2 linked regions of the Stegostoma tigrinum genome follow. The protein of the gene in region 1 binds, or shares a complex with, the protein of each later gene. Links are inferred from orthologs where the notes say so. Each region holds a gene or a part of one and is shown on either strand. Other genes may lie near its edges. The genes, in order: map3k3 and ccm2.

What was found.
Region 2: the proteins of map3k3 (region 1) and ccm2 are in contact, whole or in part, in a crystal structure (PDB 4Y5O), measured with the Homo sapiens proteins. The link is inferred for Stegostoma tigrinum from reciprocal best matches to the Homo sapiens genes MAP3K3 and CCM2. Residues at the interface, in NP_002392.2 of Homo sapiens: Asp2, Glu3, Gln4, Ala6, Leu7, Ser9, Ile10, Met11, Asn12, Asp13, Leu14, Val15, Ala16, Leu17, Glu50, Asp82, His84, Met86, Asn88, Glu89, Leu90, Ser91, Ile92, Leu93, Arg117, Leu119, Leu121, Ser122, Gln123, Asp124; in NP_113631.1 of Homo sapiens: Leu299, Tyr302, Met303, Leu306, Arg307, Ser312, Gln313, Ile315, Gln316, Gln317, Phe318, Ala319, Ala320, Leu321, Leu322, His323, Glu324, Arg326, Glu333, Ile336, Asn337, Gln340, Leu341, Leu353, Phe356, Pro358.

The regions. Positions count from the first base shown.
Region 1 is NC_081384.1:38,405,759-38,415,081, forward strand, and holds the start of map3k3 (mitogen-activated protein kinase kinase kinase 3), read left to right. Parts: upstream 1-5,752; 5' UTR 5,753-6,054; intron 6,055-9,323. UniProt on the Homo sapiens protein: Component of a protein kinase signal transduction cascade. Mediates activation of the NF-kappa-B, AP1 and DDIT3 transcriptional regulators.
Region 2 is NC_081357.1:77,946,204-77,954,943, forward strand, and holds the start of ccm2 (cerebral cavernous malformations protein 2 homolog), read right to left. Parts: upstream 4,102-8,740; 5' UTR 3,692-4,101; coding exon 3,662-3,691; intron 1-3,661. UniProt on the Homo sapiens protein: Component of the CCM signaling pathway which is a crucial regulator of heart and vessel formation and integrity. May act through the stabilization of endothelial cell junctions. May function as a scaffold protein for MAP2K3-MAP3K3 signaling.

The sequences.
Region 1 (9,323 bases):
TAACTCATTCTTGTTTGTTCTCTGTCCTGATAACAGGTGCCCATTATCAGCTTTCCTTGGCATACCATTATCTGTCTTTCTCTCAGTCTCTGAGCTGTCTCCACATATGCTCTCACACTTTTGAAGCTTCAACCTTGTCTTCAGTGTATATGCCATTTTTTCCTAACTACTACTAGTTCTGATGGAGGGTTAAAAACATTGACTCTACTTTCTCTCCACAGATGTTGCCAAACCTGCTGAGTTTCTCCAGTGACATCTGTGAACATATAGTTGTCATTATGGAGAAATGTCTGCAGGATGACCAACGGTGGGAACTGAATATCCAGAAGCATATGAGAATATGCTTCTGAATATGAGGAGAGACAAAAAGGAAAAGGCAAAGAGGAAATTAATGCAACAGTGAGGAAGGATATTAGTTCTAAAGGTGTGGAATCTGTATCTGCAGAGCTGGAAAACATCAAGGGGCAAAAAAACATTAGGAGCTGTATATAGACTCACAAACTGTAAAGTTATGTTGAAATAGCATTAAACAGGAAACTGTAGAGCCGCCTGAAGTAAAGGAACATCTGTGGGTGATTTTCATCTACATACAGATTAGGCAAATCAAATTAGTAACAATCTTGTAGAGGAGGAGTTAGTTGAGTGCGCGCAAATTGGTTTTATGGACCAAAACATTGAGGAACCAACTAGAAAACACAATCTTAGGTTGGGTATTGTGTCATGAGCAAGGAATAGTTGCCAAACAAGTTGCACGAGTCCTTGGGGATGCAGTAAAGAAGCGAAATAGTATATTAGACTTCATAGCCAGAACTTTTGATTACAGGAGCAGGGATGTCTTGTTTAATATATAAAGAACCTTAGTGAAACCATGCCTGCAATACTGTACACAGTTTTGGTCTCCGCACCTGAGGAAGGGTGTTCTTGCTATAAAGGAATTGCAGTAAAAGGTTTAGAATTAGAATTAGAATTAGGTTTATTGTCATGTGTACTCAAGTACAGGAGTATACTGAAAATTTAAAATGTCACCCATGATGGCACCATCTAAACTATAAGGTACCAAGGTACAAATCTGAGATACAAAATAGAGAAATAAAAAAAGTTACAATACATAGTGATTCAATGTATAAGTTAGAAACTAAGAAATAAAGTTAAAAGGATGAACATTACAGACAGGTTATAGGTAAACATTATAATGTAGTAGATCGGTGCAGGGGTCTTTCAGATATGGTTTTTTCGGGCTCACAAACCACTGACCATCCGCACCGGTCCCCAGTCCAACAGCCATTCCTGCTCTGCTCCATTACCAGACTGATCCTTGGGATAGCAGGGCCGACATATGAGGAACGGTTGAATCAGTTAGGATTTAATTTACTGGAATTCAGGAGAATGAGAAAGCATCTCATTGCAACCTATAAAATTCTAAACGTACTAGACAGGATAAATGTAGGAATGGTCTTGTGATAGCAGGTCATTGGAACCAGGATATGAGATAGATCATTTAAGACTGAGATGAGAAGAAATTTCCTCACTCAGGCAATGGTGAAACTGTGGGATTTTCTGCAATGAAAACAGTAAAGATCGAAAGATGTGATTTCAAGAAGGAGTTGGAACCAGTTTTTGGGGATCAAAGGTTATGTGGGAAAAGCAGGAACAAACTGATGAGTTGGATGATAAACTATGATCTTAAAACATGGCAGTGCAGCTTCATGGGCCAAATGGTTTACTCCTGCTCGTAATTCCTACATATCTATAACCAACCTAAACCTAATAACCGTTGTTCCATATATGTTCTCTTACCGACACTTGATCCATTGGTCGACTTCATTCACAAGAATTAAATGCAGCAACTTTCTCACTGGAATGAAAATATTCTGTTTTACAATATTGTCCTGAATACACTCTTGAAACTCCTGCTCATCTCTGATTATTTAATTATTTAAATTATTTTAAGATGTACTGTAATAAAAGGTACTACTCCAAAACTTATGTGCACCTCTGTAATTTCCTTGCAAATTTATTCCTGTAAATTCTACCCATCAGCTTGTGGTGAATGGAATACACTGGGCAATGAAAGGGTACCTATATTGTGTTTTCGCTCCACCCAAATAGATTCTGTACTTGAACATTCTGGGATATTGTCTCATTCTAATACTGTAAAACATTATCCTTAATCAACAGTGCTACCTTTCTCATCTATATTTTTCTCGACCACCTTGTTGCAGAGTAATTTACAGCATGGAAGGAGGCCATTCTACTCATTACACTGTTACAAATGAGTGGTTTTTATAAGAATGTTACGCCTATTTGGACTGTGTTGATTAGAGTAAAACGGAGGTAAAAAAGGAACTGACATGATCTGCTTTGGATCCTGCTGCCAGCAAAAGTCATTGGCTTGACTGTTAAAGACATTCAGGTGTTTCTCTGTGAAGACACAAGATGCTCACACTTGCAAACAATGGTAGAAGAATATTTGCTGACAATGGATATACTATTAGTCCCAAATTCCCAAGAAGAATTAAGAGTGTCTGATTTTGAAAATGGTTATACTTTATCTATTGTCTACTTAGTTTCATAACAGAATAAGTTGTTATATCTCAAGGGTATAAAATCAACATGTTTACCTTGATAAATAGGCCCATTGATTTACATTGCTATGGAAATGAGAGGAATTGAGAGGAATAAAATGTACTGGAAGCCATTGTAAGATTGGATTATAAGGTTCTCCTAAAAGTTGCACCTGAATTTCACAGAATGGTTGGCTTGTCAGGACCATAGAGAGAACAGACAGGTAACAGGTTCTTATTATACATTACACAGAGATGCAGGTGAGAGCTTGCTGAAAAGGCCAAATCTTTGAGGACTTACAATGAGGCTAGAAGATTCATCTGCCTTCAATCACAGACAAAATCTCCAGAAAAATCCTGAGCATTAAAGATAGTTCTGAGGTTAAATGTTACTTGACTGGGGCAGGAAAAAAAATGAAAGTAAACCCTGAATAATGAAAAATCTCTTTAGACTGGTTCCAGGTGAATTAAATGCCTACTTAAGGGACAGAATAAAATAATACCATGGAGTGAGAACTTTGTTCATGTGAAAGTAAAAGGGGAAGTTCTCTTCTGCAGTTACCTATAGAAACAGTGTTTAATCAGTGTTGGTTTTAGTTTACTTGTTGCAGTTGAAGTTGCAAAACTTGTCATGTGAGCTTTTAAATTGGACTCAGGGAACGCAAATGTTTTTAAAATGATTATTGTCTTTGTTGGTTCCAGCCAGAGCAATCCTGTCATTTGTACTCCGCTATTCAATTTCCACAGTCTTGCAAGTTGATTTGTCTAAATCTTATCCAATTTCGTCACAGAATCATTATTTACGTCACACTCATAAGAGGCCAGATCCAGGTTACTAACACTCACTGCATAAAATTAATACAAAATGTTTTTCATCACAGTCCCCCTGCGTCTCTTACCCAAAATCCTAAACCCATGTCTCCTATTCCTTGTACTATCAGTTAATTGGTGCTTTCCCTCCTCAACCTTGTCTAAAGTCTTGTACACCTCAAATCTACCTGGTCTCTTTTGCTCCAAGGAGAACAACTCCAGCTGTTCCAAACTAAACTTGGAGCTACAGCCATCATTCCACAGTATCATTCTGGTAAATTTCCTCTGCATCTGCTCAAGGAACATTTTTGCTAAAGCATGGTAACTATAGTTAGATCAATATTCCTGTTAGGACCCAATCAGAGCTTTATCAAGGCTCAACACAACTTTGCTGTCTAAAATTCAACCTGCCACTTTGGTGACCATTCTGATTGTCCGTCAAATGTCCTATTGCAGGCCATTTAAATTATCTTAAGATTTGCCACTCTAAATTTGGTATCATCAATAAATTTTGAAATTTGACTCAGCATTCCAAGACCCAAATCATTTATCAATTGCAAAAACAACACAAAAAACAACAAAGCACTGACACTTGGAAGATATGACGATCTACCACCCTCCAGTCCAAAAAAATTCTTATCCACCATGACTGGCTTTCTGTCCTCAATCCCAACCTTCCATGTTGTCAGCCGTAATTTAGTAATCAGTCTTAAGGTAATTTGTCAAACAAACATTCTTTCAGAAGCATGTTTCCCTTGAATATTTGAACTTACCCTTGTTCTTTGCATCAACATCTATCATCTCATGTGGCTGTGTGTTTTGGTGATCTTGATGTCTTTCACACTGTTTCTGGTTTGCTTCATACTGATTCCAGTCTACTTTAATGATCCTAACATACTTCATAACAATCTTGACCACAACAAGCACTAGGAAGCAAAAGGGATTATGGAAGCAGACAGAGAAGCATGGTTTTAGGAGGGGCACATATACAATGTAATAAAAGCTTAATATCAAATCAGAATTTTTGCAGCACAGAAATTAAATGATGGTGTAAATGACCATGCTACTCTGACATAAGCAAAGCAGAGAAATGATTGAGACTTGAAGAGTGGCAAAAGAGAAACACTACATTAGACAGCTGCATTTCTCCATTATAAGCATGTACCCATGTAAATGAAGAATTTTCAGAATTACTGAGAGTGAGTGAGCATCATTCAAGCTAAAGATACATGGGACACAACAGCAGCAGCAGCAGTCTAACAAGACAGTGCGACCTCTTGACACTAAATGCCCAGCCAACCCAAAGCATGGTTACAACAGAGCTCCCAATAAAGCAGTGTGGAGAAAACAGCAGTTTCTGTGAGCGATAGTTAGAACTGCTGATGCTGGAGTCAGAGATAACACAGTGTGGAGCTGGAGGAACACAGCAGGCCAGGCAACATCTACTACCCTGGTTACAGTGGCTGAACTGAGGTTGAGGCTGTTGCTCTCTCTTCCAAGGTTCCTGCTCTTTAGGCTGACTTTGTCACTGGGGTGTCAACCCCTTTGATTCAAGTGGGCCCTTTAAATATAATTCCATGGACTACACTCAAATACAGTAGCTTACTATTGTTCACAATGTTGACATGTTAACTGACATGTAGATTCCGTTGTAGCTATTAAGCTACAACAGCTTGATACTGTAAGTAATATAATTCAGTTAATCTAGTGAATGTGCTTCTGCCCCCAGAAAGGGTGTTACGAAAGGCAGTATTAGGTATTATAATTTCCCTATTGACTCAGCTGACCCGAAGAGCCGGACAGTCCCAAAAACCGTTCTACTGAAACTTTCGACACACTGTTCTATCCGAAACCTTTCAGCATTGTCTCATCAACACCTATTAAATATAGACAAACAGGAGGCTGGAAGAACACAGCAAGCCAGGCAGCAGCTAGAGGAACAGCAAAGTTGACGTTTCGGGTCGGAACTCTTTTTCGGAAAATAAGGCTGTTTCCGTGGGCTGTATATTCAACTGGCTAACCTCTTCCCACTTAATGCTCCTGAGCAGCCTTCACTCTCCCTCACACCCTTTCTTCTCACCAATCTCACCTCATCTCCCACCGGCACACTCTCTTAAACCTCTCAGCCCCTCTTTTCTCCGCCTTAAACCACTCCGACCTCGCCCCGTTTTACTTCAGCCATTCCTCACGCTTCACCAACTAAACCTCATAAACTCCGCCGTGAAGCCACTTCACGTCCGCGCCTTCCCGCGTTGCGCATGCGCCTGCCTGCCCCGCCCTCGGCCTAGCCCTGCGCATGCGGTGCCGGGCCCGGTGCTCTACGCAGGCGCATCTAGTCACGGCCGCCGGCTTCCGGCACTCTGCGCGTGCGCGGCGGCTGGAGGCCGGAGTTTTTTTGGTTGTTGCTCCGGAAGAGCCGTTCGCTGTCTGGCCCACTGCAGTCCGTTAGTGTACGTCTGGGGGCTGGGGCCCGTCCGATTCGCAACCGCCATGGAGACGGTGGTATCTGCGCGGCGCCGGGGCTAAATTGTGCAGGCAGACAGCGATCGAGGGCGGCGCGGGGCCCAGAGCCCCGAATCAAACTGGAGTCTGTGGAGTAGGCGGCCCAAAGAGGCAAGGCCAAAGACCACCGGGAAGTTCCCAAAACCGGTAGCAAACCGACCACACGATACAAATGCAGGTACACTGAGAGAGTGCACGATATACCGGGCTGTGCGTACTCTGAGCTAGCGCCGAATATCCTGGGACTTGCAGATGGTTCTGCATAATTCAGGTTTGGGGCTGTCTGAGTTACTGGGAACATAAAAACGCAGTTTGCAGTGTTGTCGTACGGTCTGTCAGGGTTATGCAGTTTGTAGCTTCAAATGCATTAAGTTAGTACAAAATACCTTGGGGTATGCAGAATATCCAAATATAAGTTGAAATGGGTTGTTCAATTCAGATCGACTTTAGAATATAACGTTGTAAGTTGGCAGAGCTGGTTTTAAATATGATACCGATCCACTTATACAAAACATAAGACAAAACACATGTGCCAACGAACATTTGCAGAATACTTGGGAATGCATTAGTGCACTTGAGGAGAGATTGCACAGAATGCACTCCTTTGTAGTGTTGAATATAATGAGATACTACATAAGATTAGATTAGGTAGACTACGTGAGATTAACGCAGGTTTATTAAATAAACATACGATGCTAGAACTGTGCGCTGCAGTAAACGTTCCTTTAGTTTCTTTTTACGTTTGCTGTCGGAATGTGGGCAATTTATTGCTCAGCTGCTGCATCAACCTTGAGAAAGTTAGCTGTCTTGAACTGCTGCAATCAATGGAGTGGTGGGGCATATTGATATGCAAGTAGGTTGCCCTTAGTGCTGTTAGGATTGGGGTTTCAGGATTTTAACTCAGTGACAATGATGAGTTAAGCAGTTTAGTCTCAAGTGGGAGAGGTGTACACCTTGGAGGTGAACTTGTAGTCTGTGGTGTTTCATGCACCTGATGGCTTTGTCCTTCCAGGTGATAGAAGTTGGTAGATTAGGACATACAGTAGGAATGTACTGTACTCGGGGCATGGTGATTTGCTGCATTGTAGCTGGTTAGCGATTGCTGCCATACTGTTGCATGTGGTGCCAATCAAGTGGACTGCTTTGTCCTTGATGCTAACAAGGCATTTTTTTTCTGGGAGCTGCATTGATCCAAGCAAATGAAGTGCATTCCATCATATTTTTGACTTGTGCCTTATAGATACAGGACTGGCTTTGGGACGTGAGTTAATCACAGTAGAATTCTCAGCTGCTGACCTCCTGTTGTAGCAACTGCGTTTATATAGCTTGTCCAGTTCAGTCTCTGGTCAATGGTAATCCCAATATGTCAGCTATGTTATATAGGTATTCAGAGTTATATGATTGTAGAATATAACAATGCAGGCTTGTGGTGCCAGTGTATTATAGCCATGCAGCTGATGAAGATATACTGAGACAGTGCAAAAATTCCCTAAAATAGTAAATTGACCATAAAGAATTACCTTGCGATATAACAAGATATGCCATTCACCAGTGCTGCTTCCCACAATAAGATATTTGAGTACAGAACCATTGCAAATATAGTCAAATAGGTTTATAGAATGGATGCAAAATGTTCCTGAATATTTTAACGCAATGTGGAGGTAATATATTAGAATTCATTTTGTATACCTTGGTTTATTACTGTATACAAATGAAGATTCACAGAGCAGTGCAGAACATGCATAATGCTGTAACACAGACAAACAGCTTATTTAAGATATCCAAGACATCTTAAATGCACATTTGCAAAACTGTGACACTTCTAGTGATGTGATCAGTATTGAAGAGAATGAAGATGAACCAAGCTATTCTGATATGACTTTACAGAAGCAATACCGAATTTTACAGACTATTTTAAATATAGAGAATTCCCTATGGGATATGCTCATGTAACTATCCTCCAATGATGTAGCATATACAAAAAAAAAATCCAACATAGGTATGCACACTGACAAGCAGTGTTTTGCCCTGATGTAACTGATCAGAGTTGATGCAAAATTGGATAGATGTAATCATGGAGATATGCTGAATGTATTGTGATATGTTAGACCCAGGGCCACGTACAACATTACACTAATTGAGCAACATAGTGCTACTGCAGAATGAGTTAATTTATTCAGACAACTATTCAATCAAAAAGTTAATAAAAACAAAGGAAGAAAACAGAGTATGAAGTGAATAATAACCATGGATATAAGTCAGATTACTGGAAGTTTTACAAGCATTTAAAAAGGAAGAGAGAAGCTAAACCAAGTGCTAGTCTTTCAGAAGTAGAGACAGGAGAAATCGTTAGGGGGAATGAGGAAATGGTAGAGCCATTTGAATAAGTATTTTGTCTGTCTTCACATTGGAAGGCAAGTTACGTATCAGACTACATTTAGAGGTCAAAATTATTTGGCTACAGAGATCCACCAGCTATGATTTTCCAAAAGTCTGTAGAATGTGGAAATGGTCCCAACAGATAGGAGAAAGTGTTTTAAGTCAGATGATTTGGACATGTTATGATGTACCTTTGGAACAGGTGGGACGTCAAACCTGAACCTTTTGGCCCTGATGCAGGGACACTACCATGGCACCACAAGAGCTGCTCCCAGCAGTTTGAAAGTTAACAAATATATTACTCCTATTTGAGAAAGGAGGGACAGAGAGTTCAAAAAATTGTAGGTCGATTCACCTTAAGCCAGCTATCTGGAAAGTGTTGGAATCTGTTGCGGAATGCATTTCAGAAAGCATGGTGTAATCAGACAAAGCCATCATGGTTTTACAAGGGTGAAAACCAAGTTGAAAATGTAACTAGTGGAGTAAATAAAGGGAATTTAATATAAAATGTAAGGGCCTGGCGTTTAAAATCGAGCACCCTTTAGACCAAGTTCAAGACTACGCTTGATTTTGGATTTTACAGGAATTTGGATTACATGCTGGATTAAATAGGAAAACTAATCATTAACTTTCAATTTTCTAACCTGGCCTAAGGGTGATTAATCTATTGAGGTGAGTAATTTTTCCTAGTCATCAATACAAATTGATAACATTCTTGGTGAGGCAAATTCAGTGTACTTAATCCCTGAATTTATAATCCATGTTTCAGTGTATTAAGTATTAAAATGATTTATTTAAAATACATTGAGTTTGCCATTTTTTGTCTTTTCACTGTACTCTGTGGGTAGAGAGAAAAATATACAGCTGGACTTTGGTACTGACATGCACTTTCTAAAATATATTCAATAAAGTATAACACAAAAGGTTAATATGCTGGACAAAGTCTCAATAAGTTGGGGATAATATTAGCATGAATATAAGATTGTTTAATGGATAGGAAGCAGACAGTATGCATAAACAGGGCATTTTCAAGTTGGCAGGCTTAGACTAGTGATGTACTGAAAGATC
Region 2 (8,740 bases), on another chromosome or scaffold:
GTCAGTTTGTCTGCTCCAAAGATGCTGTTTGGCTTGCTATGTTCATCCAGCTCAACACCTTGTTATCTCAGATTCTCGAGCATCTGCAGTTCCTATTATCTCAGGGGGAATTCATGGTTTGGTACAGAATTAGGCCAGCTCAAGGTCAAAACAGGACAAGCTACAAACTGTTTAGTTTAGCCTGGGATAGAGGCTAGGGTTGGAGATGAAATTTGATGGATATGGATCAAAGTTCATAATGGAGAACTGAAGACAAATAGATTCAGCCTTGTCAATTTTTAAAACGGTGGGCATTTCAGGTCAGCCTTGACTACAAACCACAAGTGGATGCCAGGTCTTCCTTCCCTTAAAGGATGGTTTATACTTCAGGCGGTCAACTCTTCTAATGCTCCTCCAGAGTTCAGAACACAGGGGTTTATTGATTCAAACACTTAAGAGTCAGTCACTGGTAATGACTGCCATTTTCATGACTCAGGTGACCACGTCACAATAGAAAACTATTAGGTACACAGCCTTGCTACCTGATGAAACGTGTAGACATCCTTGGCCTGGTGATAACAACATGTTAATGTCATCTGCATACTCCAGGAATAGAGTCAGTGACTGCCTCTTTCAAGATGTTGAGGATACACCTGAAACAGCAGAGTCAGAAACAATGCAACCCTTTCTTCCTGCCCAGCATATGTTGTCTTACAAATATAGAAGGGTTCACAGAAGATGCAAGTTTGGTAGATCTGCAGTTTGGGTTCTCTCAGTCAAGATACACAGTTGTCTATCCTGAGTGAGCATGGAACATTGCATCTGCAATTGCAGTTTTTGCAATGAAGACAGAGTGTAACATCATATGAGATTCCTGTTAAATGATTGTGAAGCCTTAAAATGTGACAGTATTAGCTTCCAAATGTCATACTCAATGACCTAAGGGTCAAAAGAAATGCTTCACGTCGGTGTATTTTCCATTGAACGTTTTCCCCATAATGGCATACCTACAAAGTATCATCACATACAGCAGCGCAGGGCAAAGTCCATGATGGTTAATGCAGAACTAGGAGTTACAACCACAGCTGAACTTCAGATTTCACCACCCCCTGCTTCTTATGGAGGATTTAGAGCCACCTACTAGGAACATACAATTCTGTTTGAATCTGTTGAAAGAATCATAAAAACTAGCAGACCAGCCATTACAAATTTTAAGACGCCTCTGCATGAAGAATTTAAGACAAAGTTCAAATGCATTGTGGCTTAATTAATTGGTCTATACAAAATTATCAATTGTTAGTTGGAAAAAGATTTCAAAAGGAGGTTGGTAGAATTGGGGTGTTTGAGCTATAGGGAGAGGCTGAATAGGCTGGAGCCAAAGCTGAGCAGTGACCTTATACCACGTTTAAAAGATCATGAGGGGCTTGCATAAGGAGGATAGTCATGGCCTTTTCTCCAGAGTAGGGAGTCCAAAACTAGAGGGGCACAGGTTTAAGGTGGGAGGGGAAGGATTTAAGGGGCCTAAGGGGCAACCTTTTCACATAAAGGGTGGCATGACCGTGGAACGAGGTGCCAGGGTGGAGGCAGCAGCTAGTAATGATTACAACATTTAAGAGGCATCTGGATGGATGCATGAATAGGAAAGGTTTAGAGGAATACAGGTCACATGCTGGCAAATGGAACTGGATTAATTTAGGATATTAGTTGGCATGATCAAGTTGGACTGAAGGGTCTGTTTCCATGCTGTACATCTCGATAACTGCTGTTACATCATGAACTGCAAAGCTTAAACTAACCTGCTTGGATTTTAGAATGCTGTAAGTAATGCAATTCAGCAAAGAGATAAGATTCCAAGTTTGCAGAATTGAGGCGGATATCTTTCAAAAAAAAAACTGACACAGCAAAGTTTCCAGTGAAATGTTAGAGTAGAATGACCTTGATGCACAGAACTGTAATTAAAAACATATCAATGAGTGGATAAAAAAATCTGACAAACACACAACACTGCAGTTGGGGCCAACCAGTGTTGGAAACACTTGTCAGACAGCATCAGTGGAAAGAAAAAAAACTTCTTGTTTTAAATTGATATCTTTCACAGAATTCTTGATTTTGTATCTCAAGAGCATAATAACAAAAGCATAGAAGCAATTCACTAAATAACTAACAAGTGAGAAACCCAGCATCCATCTTTGGGCACCCAAGTTACTCAATACAGAGCACAGTTTAGATCTGAACAAAAATAAATAGCATGACTTGAAAAATTAGGACATTTTTCACTGTATTATCTGAAAGTCTGACAATGGAAGAAAAAGACTGCTGACCACAGCAAAGTACAAATCAAAAAGGTTGCAAAGGTTTAGGGTAGGCGAGTGAAAATATATATTAACTAGAATGCAAAATGTTCAGTTACATAACTGGTGATTTAGAATGCTCTGGTGGCTCAGTGGTTAGCATTACTGCCTCAATGCCAGAGATTCGATTCTATTTCGGCCTTGGGCAACCATGTGGTGTTTGCACGTTCTCGGTGTCTACGGATTTTCAAACTGAGTGCTGCGGGTTCCGCGTACAGTCCAAAGATGTACAGGTTCGGCAAACTAGAAGGTTTGGCGTGGGACGCTCTTTGGAGGGTTGGTGCAGATTTGATGAGGACTGTGGGGCTTCTAGGATTCTAACAGAATTATCAGTGCTTGGAAAGCAAATACAGTGAAAGCTCTCACATGAGAACATAACCAGATCTGATGGAAAAGCTTGTTTCTATAGCGTATAGAAACTCCTAAAAACACAGAACAAAAATTGAGCATAACATACCACACTGACAGGCAAGTGCTGTGAAATAACAATTCGGATCAAAAAGTTTGCAGAGTCACTACGTTTTGGACATCTGCCTAAGCAAGTTGCACAAAACAAAAATTTCTCTCGCATGAGATTGTAGACTTGTATTATAACTTACAACGCCACCGTTATCAACTGAAATGAAACAAGAACACATTGACCACAATATTTTCCGTCAAGCTGCTATTTCAGCAGCTGTACACTAACTCTTCCCGGCAAAAAGAAAATCGGGTGTCAAATATCTGTCTCTTATTAAGTAGTGTACTGCAGACACTGGAAAGTGAAGCAGGGCGTGCTGAAAATTTGTTTACATTTCGGGCTGGGTGGGAAGACACCGTGGAGTGGCTTTCGAGTAGTTTCAACAGCAGCAGCCGCTGAAGTGCCTCCGCCTCCAGCTCCCAGCGGACATCAGAAAAAGTCACCGGTGAAAAACAGCCCAACCCAAACAGGAGTAACAAAACGCCCTTCAACGATCTCGAAGTTTAATGAACTACATCTGAAATACATTTGTTTCCAAAAAAAACTGAGGAAACGTAAATCCTTTGACAAATCTCGTCTATTTTAAGACAAGGCGGCCCCAAAATTACAAGCCATAGCAACCCCGCCCCCTCCGTTTTTGGGCCAAACAGCAAATTTCGTTGTCAGCTGGAGCTATATTTACCTTTTCTCCCTCAGCCCCGCGATGACAGGCCACTTCGGCCCCCAATCCTAAGGAAGCCCAGGCTCTAGAGCACCCCTCCGGCCGCTCAACAGACCCACACCCAATACCAGCGATATCCAGATCCGACCCTGGGGGGGATGTCTCCCCCGATCTTTCATCACCCCAAACTAAACCGCGCACAACTCTCACCTTTTTACCTTTCTTCGCATCATCCTCCATTTCTAGCTGAAGAACCAGCGGTAACTCCTTACAACCAGGGTAACGGCGGAAAAAGAACCGACTCCCGCCCACAATGACATTACGGCAGCGACATCGGACAACCACTCCAATCCCGGGCCTAGCCGCCCATTCGTTGTGTGGGCTGGACACAAACTTCCCTCAACCACACTCTCCCTACCCACCCCGGTCAGATCGCACACCGCCGAAAGCAACTTTTCAATCCTGCCGCCATCTTGGGCGTGTCTTCCCGGCGCACATTGGGTCAGCTCTGGAGGACTATCGCCTCCGCCGCAACACATCCTCCCGTCCACCAGGGGCCCCTAACCGTCGGTCCTGCTCCTAACCGCCAGGGGGCCTCCGCGGCCAACCTTCCTCCTTTTTCAGGGCGCCATGAGGCTTCCGCCGCTTCGCCTCCTCCAAACGTCACGAAGGCGCGACGCTCCTTCTTCCAGCCGCAAGGGGGCATCCGCTGCGGATAGGTCCGCCCCCGGCTTGCAGGGAGCGTGTGTTTCACGCCCGCCGTGGTTTTTCGGTCCGAAACGTCAGCTTTTGTGCTCCTGAGATGCTGCTTGGCCTGCTGTGTTCATCTAGCTTCACACTTTGTTATCGTGGTTTTTCTACAGGCCGGCAGTGGCCAAACGTCTTCAGGGCGCCATCTTCAGGAAGACAATGGTACAATTTAGACTTGTCTCCCTATGCCATGATGAAAAGAAGCGAACGTTCCCACTCAGTCTCAGTTACTATTTAGATTCTACTTCTAGCTTCAAAACAACCCAGATCTGAATGCAAATTGTGTATCTTTTTCACAAAACTAAACGTTGTTTCATTTGTATTGGCGAAAAGGGATAGGTCTCAAAAGAAAGGCCTTAAAAGGAGGAAATAAAAATATCAACAAAATACTGTGCATGCTGGAGATCAGCAGAGCTTGCGGCACATGTAAAGAGGGAAACTGAGTCCATGTTTGAATCCAGTAAGATTTTGCGTGAAGTTCATCTAGCACTTTTTGCAGTTACTTCAGGAGGAAAAATAAAGTGATGGTTGGCGAGCAAATGTTGAACTTTTCCATTTTACGTGCAATCTAGTTAATCGTAAGCATTTTGTATCAAATTCTAGATTTTTTTAAGAATAAAAGACCAATAATACAAATAACTGACATTTGAATTTTTCCAACTGATATCCACTTCTGTAAACTTTATCTGTTTTGACTTATTTCAGAAAGTTGCAGGAATTTATGCTTCCAAAATATATAGATTGATAAGGAAGGAAGTCCATCCCCCCAGACCTCCCACTGACTGAGGACGAACGGTCAGTCCTTAGTAAGGGGCTCACCTTTGTCCCCCGACAACCACACATCAACGAATACCAGTCACGTTTGGACATAGAGCAGTTTTTCCGCCGTCTTCGCCTCCATGCCTACTTCTTCAACCGGGAACCTAACCCTCCTTCCACTGACCCCTTCACCCGCTTCCAACACAAGTCCTCCTCCTGGACACCACCCCCAGGCCTCCTACCCTCCCTCGACCTCTTCATCTCCAACTGCCGTCGAGACATTAACCACCTCAACCTCTCCACCCCTCTCACCCACTCCAACCTCTCCCCTGCAGAACAGGCAGCCCTCCGCTCCCTCCGCTCCAACCCCAACCTCACCATCAAACCCGCAGACAAGGGTGGCGCAGTGGTAGTATGGCGCACTGACCTCTACATCGCCGAGGCCAGACGCCAACTCTCCGACACCAACTCCTACCGCCCCCTCGATCATAACCCCACACCCGAGCACCAAACCATCATCTCCAACACCATTCACCTCATCACCTCAGGGGACCTCCCACCCACAGCCTCCAACCTCATTGTTCCCCAACCCCGCACGGCCCGTTTCTATCTCCTTCCCAAAATCCACAAACCTGCCTTCCCTGGTCGACCCATCGTCTCAGCCTGCTCCTGCCCCACCGAACTCATCTCCACCTATCTGGACTCCATTTTCTCCCCTTTGGTCCAGGAACTCCCCACCTACGTCCGTGACACCACCCACGCCCTCCACCTCCTCCAGGACTTCCAATTCCCTGGCCCCCAACACCTCATATTCACCATGGACGTCCAGTCCCTATACACCTGCATTCCGCATGCAGATGGCCTCAAGTCCCTCCGCTTCTTCCTGTCCCGCAGGCCCAACCAGTCCCCCTCCACCGACACTCTCGTCCGCCTAGCTGAACTCGTCCTCACCCTCAACAACTCTTTTGACTCCTCCCACTTCCTACAGACTAAGGGGGTGGCCATGGGCCCCAGCTATGCCTGTCTCTTCGTAGGTTACGTGGAACAGTCCCTCTTCCGCACCTACACAGGCCCCAAACCGCACCTCTTCCTCCGTTACATTGATGACTGTATCGGCGCCGCCTCTTGCTCCCCAGAGGAGCTCGAACAGTTCATCCACTTCACCAACACCTTCCACCCCAACCTTCAGTTCACCTGGGCCATCTCCAGCACATCCCTCACCTTCCTGGACCTCTCAGTCTCCATCTCAGGCAACCAGCTTGTAACTGATGTCCATTTCAAGCCCACCGACTCCCACAGCTACCTAGAATACACCTCCTCCCACCCACCCTCCTGCAAAAATTCCATCCCCTATTCCCAATTCCTCTGCCTCCGCCGCATCTGCTCCCACGATAAGACATTCCACTCCCGCACATCCCAGATGTCCAAGTTCTTCAAGGACCGCAACTTTCCCCCCACAGTGATCGAGAACGCCCTTGACCGCGTCTCCCGTATTTCCCGCAACACATCCCTCACACCCCGCCCCCGCCACAACCGCCCTAAGAGGATCCCTCTCGTTCTCACGCATCACCCTACCAACCTCCGGATACAACGCATCATCCTCCGACACTTTCGCCATTTACAATCCGACCCCACCACCCAAGACATTTTTCCATCCCCACCCCTGTCTGCTTTCCGGAGGGACCACTCTCTCCGTGACTCCCTTGTTCGCTCCACACTGCCCTCCAACCCCACCACACCCGGCACCTTCCCCTGCAACCGCAGGAAATGCTACACTTGCCCCCACACCTCCTCCCTCACCCCTATCCCAGGCCCCAAGATGACATTCCACATTAAGCAGAGGTTCACCTGCACATCTGCCAATGTGGTATACTGCATCCACTGTACCCGGTGCGGCTTCCTCTACATTGGGGAAACCAAGCGGAGGCTTGGAGACTGCTTTGCAGAACACCTCCGCTCAGTTCGCAACAAACAACTGCACCTCCCAGTCGCAAACCATTTCCACTCCCCCTCCCATTCTCTAGATGCCATGTCCAATATGGGCCTCCTGCACTGCCACAATGATGCCACCCGAAGGTTGCAGGAACAGCAACTCATATTCCGCCTGGGAACCCTGCAGCCTAATGGTATCAATGTGGACTTCACCAGTTTCAAAATCTCCCCTTCCCCTACTGCATCCCTAAACCAGCCCAGTTCGTCCCCTCCCCCCACTGCACCACACAACCAGCCCAGCTCTTCCACCCCCACCCACTGCATCCCAAAACCAGTCCAACCTGTCTCTGCCTCCCTAACCGGTTCTTCCTCTCACCCATCCCTTCCTCCCACCCCAAGCCGCACCCCCGTCTACCTACTAACCTCATCCCACCTCCTTGACCTGTCCGTCTTCCCTGGACTGACCTATCCCCTCCCTACCTCCCCACCTATACTCTCTCCACCTATCTTCTTTACTCTCCATCTTCGGTCCGCCTCCCCTTCTCTCCCTATTTATTCCAGTTCCCTCTCCCCATCCCCCTCTCTGATGAAGGGTCTAGGCCAGAAACGTCAGCTTTTGTGCTCCTGAGATGCTGCTTGGCCTGCTGTGTTCATCCAGCCTCACATTTTATTATCTTGGAATTCTCCAGCATCTGCAGTTCCCATTATCTCAGATTGATAAGGAAAGCAGATTTACTTCCTTAAAATCACTATTATAGAGCAACTAGGTTCCATATTTACTTTACATCAAGAAGTATGATCACACAACTGATTTTTTTTTAAATTTAGCCTATTTTTTCTTATTAAACCTGCTTGGAGACATTATTGCATACTTCTAGAGCCGATAGGTCTTGAACCCAAGCCTCTCAATCCTCTATCACACAACTAAAAGGATTTTTCTGCTACCAAATCACCTCTACAAATTTTGCATATTAACCACCAGCAATATGTCACCAATGTTTCCAGTTGTTCAGTTTATGAGCTGAGCCCATTAAGAGCAATGCAAAAATAAGGTGAACTTGCAACTTATATTTCTAATCAACCCATTCAGAGATGTTGTTATACACCCTTGGAGTAGGTGGGACTTGAACCCAGACCTCTGGCAGAGACGCTCCCACTGTGCCACAAGAAGGCCGTAATAAGGAACATCGAGAGTAAATGAGGCAACAGCTCTCCACTGGGACACCAGTAATTCACATAAACATTTCTGCTCGTTTCAAACCAGCACCCTTTTCACATGTAAAGCAAATGTGACACCCACTACACCACAGAAACAGTACACAAGGCTAACTTTTAACTCCAAATTTATTAATTCTATGGTGTCATGGTGTGATCTAAACACAAATGCCCAGAACCTGGCCATTATGATTACCAGCCCAGAAGCATTAACCGCTGCATTATCTCCTCCACAGTATGACAAAAGAAATGACTTCCTCCGTAGTTTGGATAGTTCTTGATTATTCAACAGGCATTTTTGCACTTTAATAATTAACAAAATAAATTATTCAAAGGCAATTCTGCAAACATACAAATTATTTGTGTGTGTGTGTCTGAATTTTGTCCCACCATTTTTGCATCACTTGAAATTAGTTTTTAACCAGCCACAAAACATTTACAGTCAAATTAGCATTTTATTACAACAACATTTACAGTATTACTGGTGTTTTTCAACAAAGTCTTTAACAGAATGAAACTCTTCACTTAGGAAACACTTGGAAAGTACATTGAACTGACAATATGCCAAAGCAAACAAAGGAAAATAAATACAAGTTTTGTGGAGACTGACCTTATAATCTGTTTATATTCATA